Coturnix japonica: one gene and its partners. The protein of the gene in region 1 binds, or shares a complex with, the protein of each later gene. Links are inferred from orthologs where the notes say so. Each region holds a gene or a part of one and is shown in the gene's direction. Other genes may lie near its edges.

Region 1 (3,570 bases):
GTTGCAATGGGGGTTGAAATGGCACTAGTTAGATGTGCAGCTAGCTGACATTGTTAGGGAAAACTGCAAGGCAGTAGAGACTGCAAGGCAGACTCCTCTTGATTAGGAGAGAGAATGGTAAGGGCTTTGGGAATCTGCATCTTCCATTCTGATAACAGCTGAACTGGAAAGAAGTCCAGAAGCTAAGGCCTGCCTTTCAACAAAGGCTGTGTGCTTGCCTTTTATTGGCTTGGTTCTGACAAAGATAACTAAGCTAAATAAGATGAGGCAATAGGAATAGTGATTAGAGTGCAGGACTGGCCCTCCTAGGAGCTTTATGATACCCCACAGCATAGATACAAATGTCTATGGACGGGACCTAAAGAGGAAATCCAACAGGGGCGAATTCACAGTGATTTTAACGAAAGCTGTTCATTGTGCTGGTGAAACACCTCAGAACAAGCATCAAAGGACCAGAAGCTAAAGAAGTTCTATCATATAAAGCCTCTCTGAAGCATCTTGATTTCTGAGTAGGGACAGGAGTGGGGAACCTGAATGGATACCTCCAAGTTATCAAATCTGAGCTTTGGCATTTTAACACTTATTCTGTGGGTGCTTGGCCATTTTGCCTTCTAATCCTAAAGCAGCTTAGTGAGGTGGACACAGGCATTTTAAAAAGTGTTGTGGTTTAGCTGTCTAAAATTTTACTGCTTTTATGATAAGTTTATTAGAGCAACTTATAGCTGTTTACCTCAGGATATAGCCTCAATTTAATGATCGGTAGTTAGGGACTGTGGTACTGTGCCAGCGTATTTTGGAATTAGTTATGAAAGACTATTTAGAAGAGATTTCATTAAAGTCACTGTAGTAATTTCATCATCAGAAAAAAAAAATGTGTTTTAAATATTGTTTAGACTTAAGTTACAGTAAGAATGGATTTAGGGTCTCAAGTGAAATGGGCAGACAAGGAAAAGGTGGTATGTTGAAAGGCAATGGGAGAATACCACTGGGAAGTCAAATCCTGTTCCTTCAGTCAAATTAAGTACGTTTCACCACCTTCAAGGAAGACCACATCCAGAGGTACCAAAGTCTCCATTCCCATTCATTACAAAGAATGCCTAATCATGCCAAGGAAACTGCTAATCCAAGTATGTAGTAACAGAGGTGGTGAGTTCCGCTGCACCTGTTGGATTTTGCAGTGCTGTTCCTTTAATATGTGGTACAAAAGTACTGTGATGAAAAGTACATTTCTCTGCGGGTCTAAGTCAAAAACCATACAGTGAAAATCGTTTTGGCATTAACCATCTGAGCTACATTTTCTTCCATCTTTATAGATCAAAAAAGTGTCCTTTCAGTGCTCACTGTTGCATTATGATTAACAAAGGAAAAACCAAATAATAACTAGCCCCGAGCTTCTAGGTGCAGCAGGCAACTTTTTTTGTACCGAAAAATAGTACTCATGCCTATGTTTTAGATCTGTGATTGTATCATACATCTAAAACATAAATGTTCATTTGGGGAGGTACCATCAACATTAAAGTGAGTGTATTGCAAGCAGCAAAAATGAAACATCATTTTGGCATCTAGGAATACTTGCTTCAGGATATTGCTATATATCATGAGTGCTCTGGGGAGACAGAATCTTGAGTTTGATGCACCCTTTTGTCATCAGCAACTATATAAATACTTTAGTGCTTGCTGGAATTATTTCTTTCTCTGGCTCAGTGAACTGCAGAGTCGTGTAAGTGAATGGACCCTATAAAACAGACCACGTGAGTCCGGTCTTGCAGAGATGCTTAAGGGTTACTTTAAAAAGATAAATCCTATTGCAAGCAATAAAATTAATTGTGCTACTGAGAAATCCAGACTATTCACATATTTAAAACCTGAAATTTAAAAAACATGATATTTGAGAATTTATTTGTTTGTTTGTTTGATTGTTTATTAAAGAAATCTGTTACAGTGCATTTCTTCAGTGAGTTCAGGAAGCTCACATTCATGTAGGGAACCATATATATTTATCAGGGGATAGAAGAAGTCAGGAAAAGAACTGTATGTTCAACTTTAACTGGCAAATCCCTAAGGAGAAGCATTTACAGTTAAATAAAATCAGCCCAAGGCTGTTTAATGTCTCAGATACAGTTAAGAATATCATCCCACTGAAGACAAAGCTGTTTGTACTGTTTCATTAAATCTTAACAACCTGATGGAGGGGAACATGTGCACGCATACACAAACACCTGCCTTGAACTCTGCCTCTAAACGTGCCCCAGCCCAAGTGAGCAGGAACTGGTGTGTGAGCTCTGAGAGATGGGCTCTCACAATTCTGTGTGCCAGAGCTTACTGCTCCTACAGCCAAGTGACTGCAGCACCAGTGTGGCTGCAGGCCAGACCTCCCTGTGCCTAATAGAGATGCTGTGCCAGAGCCCCAAGACACCACAGCTTCTTCTTTTTTCCGGCTCCCTTGGGTTACAGTCTCTTTTCCTGGCTGCTTTATTGTTGTATAAACCTATAATGTACACATACATATGAGTGTGTGTATGTGTGTCTGTACACACAGTTATGTACACATATCTGTAGACAGCAGCTTTAAGGGCTGTTAAAGAATTATAGAATCATCGAATGGCCTGCGTTGAAAGCGACCACAATGTTCATGTAGTTTCAACCCCCCTGCTATGTGCAGGGTCACCAACCACCAGACCAGGCTGCCCAGAGCCACATCCAGTCTGGTCATGAATGTCTCATGGGTGGGGCATCCACAGCCTCCTTGGGCAACCTGTGCCAGAGCACCAATGCTCTCTGTGTGCTGTCTTCTGAATTATTTTTGAAAACAGCAGATTTGCATGCAGGACAGATAATAAGGAGTTGCTTCAAAGTAGAAAGAACTGAGTGCAACATTGGAGATGATAAGTTGGTGTAGAGCCATTTCTGAATTCTACCTTTTAACATTTATTTATACAATAATGATGTGTTTGATTTAACTACTTTTTACTTAGTTTCTCTGAAGATCTTACCATTAGCCCTGCAGACTTCAAGTAGCCTGCTTCTCCAGTAGCAACAAAAATATATATATACGTTGTTAACCTGTTAAGGGAAAAAAATCAACTTTAATTCCCACATGAAGCTCTTTGATGTGAGGGGGTGAATTTCAGGTTAACTGTGAGGTTCTAAGTAGAAATACATCTTGAAGGCTCACAAGAAGCAAAGACAAATGTTTGAATTTGCTTATGTTTGGGGGAGCCTCCTCTGGCAGTCACGCATCTGCTCAATTTGTGTCTATGGAGACTCAGTTGTAACTGTGTGTGCTGAAATTCCTCTCTGCCCTCCTCCCCTCACTGGTCTTTCTCTGTCTCATTGTAGAAAGTGCAAATTGTTGTGACTGTTTTGGACTATGACAAGATTGGCAAGAACGATGCCATCGGGAAAGTCTTTGTGGGCTACAACAGCACTGGAGCAGAGCTGCGGCATTGGTCAGACATGTTGGCCAACCCCAGGCGGCCCATCGCACAGTGGCACACCCTACAGCCCGAGGAGGAGGTAGATGCCATGCTGGCAGTCAAGAAGTAAATTAAATTAAAGTACGAAGAAGAA
Region 2 (4,226 bases), on another chromosome or scaffold:
ACAATCCAAGCCGAAGGAGAAGAGAGGACGAGGCGCTGCTCGCTCCCTGTCTTCCTCGCTGCCTGACAACTCTTTTCAGGACCTAGGGGACGAGCGGAGATGTCCGGGAATGACCCAGAGCGGAAGACGCGGATCACTCCCACACCTTCCCACCTTTTGCAGGAAGGAGTATTTGCAGACGTTTCCCACACACCCCTGAGGATAACCAAGGAAGCGCTGGCAAAATACAGCGGAGGGCTAATCCCTCCCCCATCTCCGCCAGGCGAAGAGGCAGGGTCCCTGGTGCAGGCAGACAGCGGGAGATGAGGCAGGGGGTGCACACATGGAGTCGCGCACCCCTCCGCGGGGCTGGCAGAGCCGGGGACCTCCTCCGCGGCCAGAGCCCAGGAGCGAGGGCGGTACAGGGAAGGGGCGGGGGAGCGAGAAGCAGGGGGAGGGCGAGAGCCCGGCTTCAGCAGCCGGGGGAGGAGGAAGGAGGGACCGTGTAGGTGGGATGGTCCGGAAATCCCGTGATAAAAAGAGGAGCGCGGGGGAAAAGTAGGGAGAAGCTTCGGACTCGTTCTCTCTCCTCCACTTCACATCCACAACTTGCCCGCTGGCACATGGGTGCCGGTCGGAGCCGCTAGCAGCGGAACGGTCCGCAGCACCTGTCCAGCACCGCACAGCGCCCACGTAGCCAGCGAGGTACAGGCACGGGGTGGACGGGACGGAGGGTGCCGTGCCGTGCCGTGCCGAAGGGTGCGTGCCGGCGGCGTGCGGGAGGGCAGCGAGGAGAGGCAGCTGCGGGCAGGCGGCGGTGGGTGCAGCCCTAATGGCACCTGGGAACCGGAGCCGATGCCAACGAAGGGAGGCAGCAGGCTGCGCGGAGGGGATACCGGGCTGCGCCCGCCGCCGGTCCGTCCCCGGCTCTGGTGGAGCATCTCCCGGGGAGATGCTGGCAGTGCACCGGGATCCCCGGCGAGAGGTGTCGCATCCCCGCGTCCCGCCGCCACGGCTGCATCCCCGCCGCTCATCCTACCCGCTCGCCCCGCCGGGCACACGCGGAGCGTTTCACCTTCAAATGCCCCCTCCGGAAGCCAGGTGGCGGGAGGTGCGGGCGGGGAAGAGAGAAAGTTAGGAGCTTTAACGCTTTCTCGTCCGCGCTGCCGGCCACCCGCACTCTCGGGCCATCACTGCTCCCCTGCCCTCTTGCCTTCCCCCCCTTCCACCCTCGCACTGCCTGGCATCCCCCTGCCTTGTCCTGTAGGGCTGGAGTCCGAGGGTCTGCGGGTGGAAACTTGGCTGGGAAGGAAGGCGGTGGGGAAGGTGGTAGCAAACAGCCGCCGTTTTTCCTCCGGGAGAAACCGCTCCTCTGGTGTCTGTGCCCCTCCCCGCAGGCTGCCCGCCGCGGATTGCCGGTCTCCGTGCATGCGAGGTGTGAAGCTGGGCAGCGCCCCTGAGCCATCGCCATGGATTTTGTGATGAAGCAAGCCTTAGGAGGTAAGTGCAGCCTGCACGTGGGGGGCCTCGCATCGCCCTTTCCCTCTCGGTGCAAGACGTGATGGTCTGCTGAGAGCCTCCGGTGGGGCTGCGGTCGGAATTGCTATTTGGTGGCTGCAGAGGGACATGCCAGCCAGATTCGTGATCCCAGAGCCAAGTGCTGGAAGAATCTGAGCAGGAGAGGGCAGCAACAAGCAGACACCAAAGCCCCATGTCATAGAGGGAGGAATGCCTCCCACGGCAGATGTGCTGGAAGGACTCGGGCTGTGCTGGGACCCTACCAGCTGTGTCCTGCTGTACTGTGCATAAGTGCCGTCTTGCTTTGTACTGTCTTCTGAGGCAGCAGTGGCAAAGAGAGTAGGAAGAATTAATCAGGGGACTCCCAAAGACTGACATTTTTTGGTGGGTGGGAGCCTCTCCTCCATCCTTCCCCTGGACTTTGGGTAGATTGTGACCAATGGCTACTGAAGAGAAGTTTGGTTTCTGTGACCTAGCATTTGGGAAGTGATATTTGTTAATAATATTGCTGCAGTAAGCAGGAAAAAAAATAATGTGTTCCCTCACAACTGATGTAGTTAGGGGACAGACCTTTAATATGGTTTTAATGTATTTCCTTCCATGTGTGATGAGCCTCTTTAACTCAGTGATGAGAAGCAGAAAAAAACAGCAGTGAGGGGAGAGAAATGAAATCCAACACAAAAGTGTTCTGGAGTGAGATTCCTTTTTTTTTTTCCTGTCACAGTTGCGTTACCTTACTGGGCTGCTTGTCCCAAATGCTCAGAAAAAGTGAGATTGTCATTGGAACAATACCGAATACAGGCTGTCTCTGAGAGGTGCTTGGCCTTGGAAGAAGCCACGATGTGTTTCTGATTGTTCCCTCTATTTTACTATACCTGATGTGTGCATTTTTCCTTTTTTTTTTTTTTTTTTTTTTAATTTTTTTTTTTTTTTTTTTTTTTGGGTGGGGGGCGAGCAGGGGGAAGAGGTAAACTGTAGCCATGGGACTGAGAAGATGTCTCATGCGTAGTGTTACTGATACCATATGCTTCAGCACATGGTAGAGACATCTACTGCAGGACAGTTTTATGTGGCATGGAAATGTGTTTTCCATTTTTGCAAGGAATGAACTATTTTCTCACCAAGGGAGCAAAATCTCGTAGTTAAGGATAGAGTGATATCCGAAGTTCTCATTGTGGTGTTTTGAATATGAAGGCCAAATTGAAGATAAAAGGTATCTTCATCTCCTTCTATTTTGTGTGATCAAACTTGATCCTACATAAGAAAATAAATGTTCTTGTGGTAATGGTATTGCATTTCATCACTGTTTGTGCCTATCTGAAAGAGAAACACTCCTGAGGAGGGCAGGTTTTATATAGGTTATCTACACTGTAAGGTTGCTTACACGGAAATGAACCTGGATCTGCATGGTAAAAACAGCCTGTGCAGTTGGAGATCAGGCAGCCCACTGAAGAGAAATAACAGCTTGGAGACTGCAAGGGGTGTGGAGGGTTGCAGAAGCGGAGTAGCAGCTGAGATGCATACTCTTATTGTGGGGTTGTGACGAGCTGGAGTTGGGAGCAGTGTGTGCTTGTACCAAACAGCATTTAATCTGGGCAGACATTCATTCTAACATAATCCTGCGTGGCAGGGTCAGGATTTGCATTATAATAGGAGCTGCTGAGAAGTCAAGTTCAGGAAGGATCTGTTGGTGAAGTCTGGGTATCTCATGTCTGCAGCAAGATGCTGCCCAGGGTGCCAGCTCTTCTGCCATCTGACATAGTATATTAGCAAACTGGGCCTGACATTTGCCCCTTGCTGGATAGAGGAGAAGGCTCTGAGGACTGGTAAAAAAACAGAAAATGTTCATTCATTATGCAGAGATGTATTTTTAACTCAGAAATGGTTTTAAAGAGGGAAAACAGCTACTTCCAGGGCAGATATATCATATCATAGGAAGTGAAGATTCTTTTGGACGCTGGTTTCCCATCCAGTGGTAAAGCCACAACTGATGCATTCATGATCCTTCTGGGAGTTCTCCCATCTCTGAGGCAATCTCTGAACATGCTTCCTGGGTCTCTAGTGGCATCTGACAATCAGATATGCATTTCCTTGGAGCCTTGCTAGTCAGAGGGGTAGAAAGCAGGAAGGTGTTTTAGAAAGCTATTGAGATGAGTTAGCAAGCAAGGAAAGATAGTTATGTTATGTGGTGTAGGAGTCTGTGAGTTTGTGAAACTCTTGAGGATTGGGATGATACAAAATTAGTTTGGCAGGTTATTCTGAAGCAGAATATGTTCATTCCGTGACCTGCAGTTAAAGGGAGTCTGCAGAAGCTTGCTGTGCCTGTACAGTGGACGTCTCTCCTCTGCTGTGCTGCCAGCACTGGGATTTTGCTGCTAGTCTTGGCAGCAGTCATTGCCTGGCTGTTAGTAGGTTTGAGATGTCTTTGCAAATTCTTGGCCCCTTCAAGGTAAAATTCCTGACCCTCACATATGTAGTGGGGGCTGTGATCCAGTAAAGCACTACAAAATATTACCTTACTTGGCCATCTGGTTTCTGTGGCATTTTTATTTTTTTCTCCACTCAGGACATTTCATTGCCCTCTGTAGAAAGTGCCCCCTTGTACTGTTTATGTGGCAGTACAAGCAGCACAGATTTGAAATACAGTCATGGTTCTGATTTGCTGTGTGGGATGACAAGAAGAAAACAAGGGGAAACTTGAGAGCTTAAAATCACTGCTTCTGCCAGAG
Region 3 (4,257 bases), on another chromosome or scaffold:
TCCAGGATTGGGAACAGCAGTGGGATGGGATTGGGATGGGATGGGATGGAGATGGGATATGGGGTGGGATGGGGTGAGATGGGATATGGGATGGGGATGGAGATGGGATGGGATGGAGATGGAGATGGGGATGGGATGGATGATGGATGGGATGTGATGGAATGGGATGGGATATGGGATGGGATGGAGATGGGATATGGGATGGGATGGAGATGGGATGGAGATGGGGATGTGATGGATGGGATGGGATATGGGATGGATTGGATATGGGATGGGATGGAGATGGGATATGGGATGGATATGGGATATGGGATGGAGATGGGATGGGATGGGATATGGGATGGATTGGATATGGGATGGGATGGGATATGGGATGGATTGGATATGGGATGGGATGGGATGGGACCAGAGCCCCCTCCCCACTGTCTGCATGGAGGGGATATGAGGGACCCCTGGCTGGGATAAGGAAGGTGTGGAGCATTGCAGCTCACCTTGGTTGTGCTTCAGCTCTTTGGGTTGGGTTAACTCAGCCACAAAGCATCGGTTGGGGTTTATTTCCAATGGGAGCTCAGTCCTTTCCCATCTCAATCCTTCCCCACGCTGGTCCTGCTTTGTATCAGCCCCACTTCTGTCCCTCCAACCCCTGTCTCTGTGTGGTCTGAGGGTCTCTGCTGCCCCATTGCCAGGCTGGGGACCCCCCAACCACATCTATATATATAACCATATCTATATATATAACCACATCTATATATATAACCACATCATTCCTCACCCTCTGCTTGAAGGAGTTTGGGGTCCTGCAGGGCTCTGGGGTTGAGCTCCCGGCTCTTGAATGGGGGAAAGCATCGCTCTGTGTGCCCCCCCCCCCACAGCCCCCAATGAGCCATAGGAGGGTTGTGTGCCGTATCCTGATGGGGGGCAGAGCTTCAAACCGATCCAGGCGGAGTAAAATCCGATCCGAAAAGCGATGGAAATTCAGCCCTGAGGACGATGTGACTCAGATCTGCCTGGCTGTGCTTCCATCTGCCCGCGGCCGTGGTGGGGAGCGAGTGGGAGAAGCTGCCAGAGCGGTTCTAAACGCCTTGAAACCCCTTTTATTCCTCATCAAAACCCCCCCCAAAAAAAACCACGAGGGGCCGGGACCCTCAGCTCACACCCCACACATCCAACACCCCCCTTAAAGCATCTCCAGCATTGAAGCCCTGAGCTCCGGGGGGGGTCTCCCATCACCCTATGAAGCGCTGCATCCCTTCGGCTCTGCTTTAACCAAATAGAGGCCCCCCCCCCCAACACCGGTACAGCCCCCCCCCCGCTATAGCACAGCCCCCCCCGCTATAGCACAGCCCTCCCCATCGCCTCCCTTCTCTGCCTGTCGCAATGGACTCTCCCAGCTCTGGGTGCGTGTGGCTGAGGCTGCAGCGCTGACGCCGGGCTGGTACCCGAGGGTTGATCTGCTGCTGGATCCCTACGAGCATCATTCATCCCTACGAGCATCCTTCATCCCTACGAGCATCCTTCATCCTCAGAGCATCCTTCATCCTCCTCGGTACATCCAGCATTGGAGCAGACCACGCACTGACACAGGTAAGGATGCCACTATAAAGCATCCCCCCCCCTATTTCCTCCCTTCCCATCCTCATCTCCCATCTGCTTTTAATTAGCATCCTCGGGGTTTTGCTGGCTGACGGATGGGGAGTTTTACCTTCTCCTTCTCATCTCTGTGGCCATTTTGTCCTGAAAATCCTTTGCTTCCACCTCTCAATGCTTTTCTCTGTGCGATCGGGAGCCCCTCGTTAGCTCTGTGCACTGCAGGGATCCCATTATAGGGATGGATAAGGAACCTGGGGGGGTTTGGGGGGGGGGTGACCTTGGGCACTGGGGAGGGCCAAGTCTTCCCTATGTCGCCATGTTCATGGTGCTCTAAGGAAAGGAAGGGGGGGGACCCTAATATAGGAACCCCCCAGGGGTTTGGGGCCGCATCAATCAGGTGCTCAGAGGGAATAAAGGGGCCCAGAGCCCCCATAACCTTGTATAGGGTCGGGGCTGATATCACAGATGGGGTTGGCTGAGCCTTTGTGCAGCCAGGAGAGTATTTAGGGGGACCCCCATTTCCATTCCCCATCTTGCCAGCCTGTGATCTGTGCCATTTCTGCCTTGTTGGGAAAGCAGGACCCTCATCCTAAAGGGATCCACCATCATTATTTGGGTGGCCCTGGCTTTAACCTTGCCATCCCCCCATTATATCTGCTTGTCCCCCCCTCCTCTTTGCTGCCCCCCACTCCCTTTTTGCTGGCTCCCTATTGCCAAAATGCGTCACAGCCCCGTGGAATCAGCCCCGCACCAGATGACCTTGGTGCTGGCCAAGGCCGCACACCGGCTCCTTCCAACCCCTTTGGGATCCCACCCGAGTTGGGCAGGGGGTCCATGAGGGTTTAATGCCCTGGGATGGAAGGTTGGGAGGGGGGGGAGGAAGGTGGGTTTAATGGGGTGGGGGGGGAATAGGGGGGGTGAATTGTGCCGCAGCGCCAGCACTGCACTGTCCCTGGGTGTCTGCGCAGAGCCAGCCGACAGCCCTGGATGTATAGGATGTATAGGATGTATAGAATATATATAGGGTATATAGGGTATATAGGGTATATAGGGTCTATAGGGTGTATATAGGGTATATAGGGTATATAGGGTATATAGGGTGTATAGGGATATATAGGGGTATATAGGGGTATATGATATATAGGGGTATATAGGTATATGAGATGATATATAGGGGTGTATGAGGTATATAGGATATATGGGATATATGGGATGATATAGGGTATATAGGGATATATGGGATATATGGGGTATATAGGGTATATAGGGTATATAGGATATATAGGATACATAGGATACATAGGGTATATAGGGTATATAGGATGTATAGGGTATATAGGATGTATAGGGTATATAGGATATATAGGGTATATAGGATATATAGGGTATATAGGATATACAGATATACAGGATATATAAGGTATATAGGATATATGGGATATATGGGATATATAGGGTATATAGGCTATATAGGGTATATGGGATATATGGGATATATAGGGTATATAGGATATATGGGATATATAGGGTATATAGGATATACAGGGTATACAGGGTATATAGGATATATAGGGTATATAGGATACATAGGATGTATAGGATGTATGGGATATATGGGATATATGGGATATATAGGATACATAGGATATATATAGGATACATAGGATATATGCAGGATATATATAGGATATATAGGATCCATAGGATATATATAGGATATATAGGAGATATAAGGCCAAATTTAGCTCTATGTTGAAGCCCCAGCCCTGCTGTTATTAAAGGGGGGGGGGTCGGGGGGAGCACCGCTTGTGACGGCTGACCGTCGCCTCCTGCGGCACACTCGGAGGTCTGCCAGGAGTAAAAATAGCACCTTTTATTTTAAGGGGGGGGGGTGGAGAAGGAGGGGGGCGGGTTCATGGCTGTCAGAGCATTGCTCAGCCCCGCTGGGGGCTGGGGGTCTGTCATAGGTTGTGTTGGGTTCTGCAGGGGGCAATGCTGGGTGCTGCCCATAGGGATGGGGGATTGGGTGGCCCCAAATGGGGGATTGGGTGACCCCATATGGGGGATTGGATGGCCCCAATGGGGGATTGGGTGACCCCATATGGGGACTGGGTAGCCCTAATGGGGGATTGGGTGGCCCTATATGGGGGATTGGGTGGCCCTATATGGGGGTTGGTGGCCCTATATGGGGGTTGGTGGCCCTATATGGGGGATTGGTGGCCCTATATGGGGGATTGGGTGGTCCCTATATGGGGGATTGGGTGGCCCCTAAATGGGGGATTGGATGGCCCCTAAATGGGGGATTGGGTGGCCCCATATGGGGGATTGGGTGGCCCCATATGGGGGATTGTGTGGCCCCATATGGGGGATTGGATGGCCCCAAATGGGGGATTGGGTGGCCCTATATGGGGGATTGGGTGGCCCCATATGGGGGTCCTTGGTGTGTATCCGGACCCCCTCCTTCTGGAAGCCTCCCTGGGGGGTCATATATGGTCTCTGTGCCCACTCAGCACCCACAGGCACCTCTGGGCAGTTGGGTTGGAGCTGAATGAGCCTAGAGACCCCCCTGAGTGCCCCCCAACCCAAAGCTCAATTCACTCCCTGCCTATGAATGGCCACCAATGCAGAGCTATGTGCTACCCCAGGACCCCCCCCATGTCCCCCGGG

Evidence for each region.
Region 2: the proteins of SYT1 (region 1) and CPLX1 are in contact, whole or in part, in a crystal structure (PDB 5W5C), measured with the Rattus norvegicus proteins. The link is inferred for Coturnix japonica from reciprocal best matches to the Homo sapiens genes SYT1 and CPLX1. Residues at the interface, in NP_001028852.2 of Rattus norvegicus: Glu271, Thr383, Gly384, Glu386, Thr406, Leu407, Gln408, Glu412, Met416; in NP_074055.1 of Rattus norvegicus: Val61, Met62, Gly65, Asp68, Lys69, Tyr70, Lys74.
Region 3: the proteins of SYT1 (region 1) and SV2A are in contact, whole or in part, in a crystal structure (PDB 4V11), measured with the Homo sapiens proteins. The link is inferred for Coturnix japonica from reciprocal best matches to the Homo sapiens genes SYT1 and SV2A. Residues at the interface, in NP_001129277.1 of Homo sapiens: Thr291, Lys314, Lys326, Lys327, Lys328, Glu342, Ser343, Phe344, Ser345; in NP_001315603.1 of Homo sapiens: Asp82, Thr84, Glu85, Gly86, His87, Asp88.

Annotation. Positions count from the first base shown.
Region 1 is NC_029516.1:35,821,722-35,825,291, forward strand, and holds part of SYT1 (synaptotagmin-1), read left to right. Parts: intron 1-3,339; coding exon 3,340-3,546; 3' UTR 3,547-3,570. UniProt on the Homo sapiens protein: Calcium sensor that participates in triggering neurotransmitter release at the synapse. May have a regulatory role in the membrane interactions during trafficking of synaptic vesicles at the active zone of the synapse.
Region 2 is NC_029547.1:46,352,320-46,356,545, forward strand, and holds the start of CPLX1 (complexin-1), read left to right. Parts: upstream 1-1,376; 5' UTR 1,377-1,448; coding exon 1,449-1,479; intron 1,480-4,226. UniProt on the Homo sapiens protein: Positively regulates a late step in exocytosis of various cytoplasmic vesicles, such as synaptic vesicles and other secretory vesicles.
Region 3 is NC_029540.1:401,052-405,308, forward strand, and holds the start of SV2A (synaptic vesicle glycoprotein 2A), read left to right. Parts: upstream 1-1,324; 5' UTR 1,325-1,584; intron 1,585-4,257. UniProt on the Homo sapiens protein: Plays a role in the control of regulated secretion in neural and endocrine cells, enhancing selectively low-frequency neurotransmission.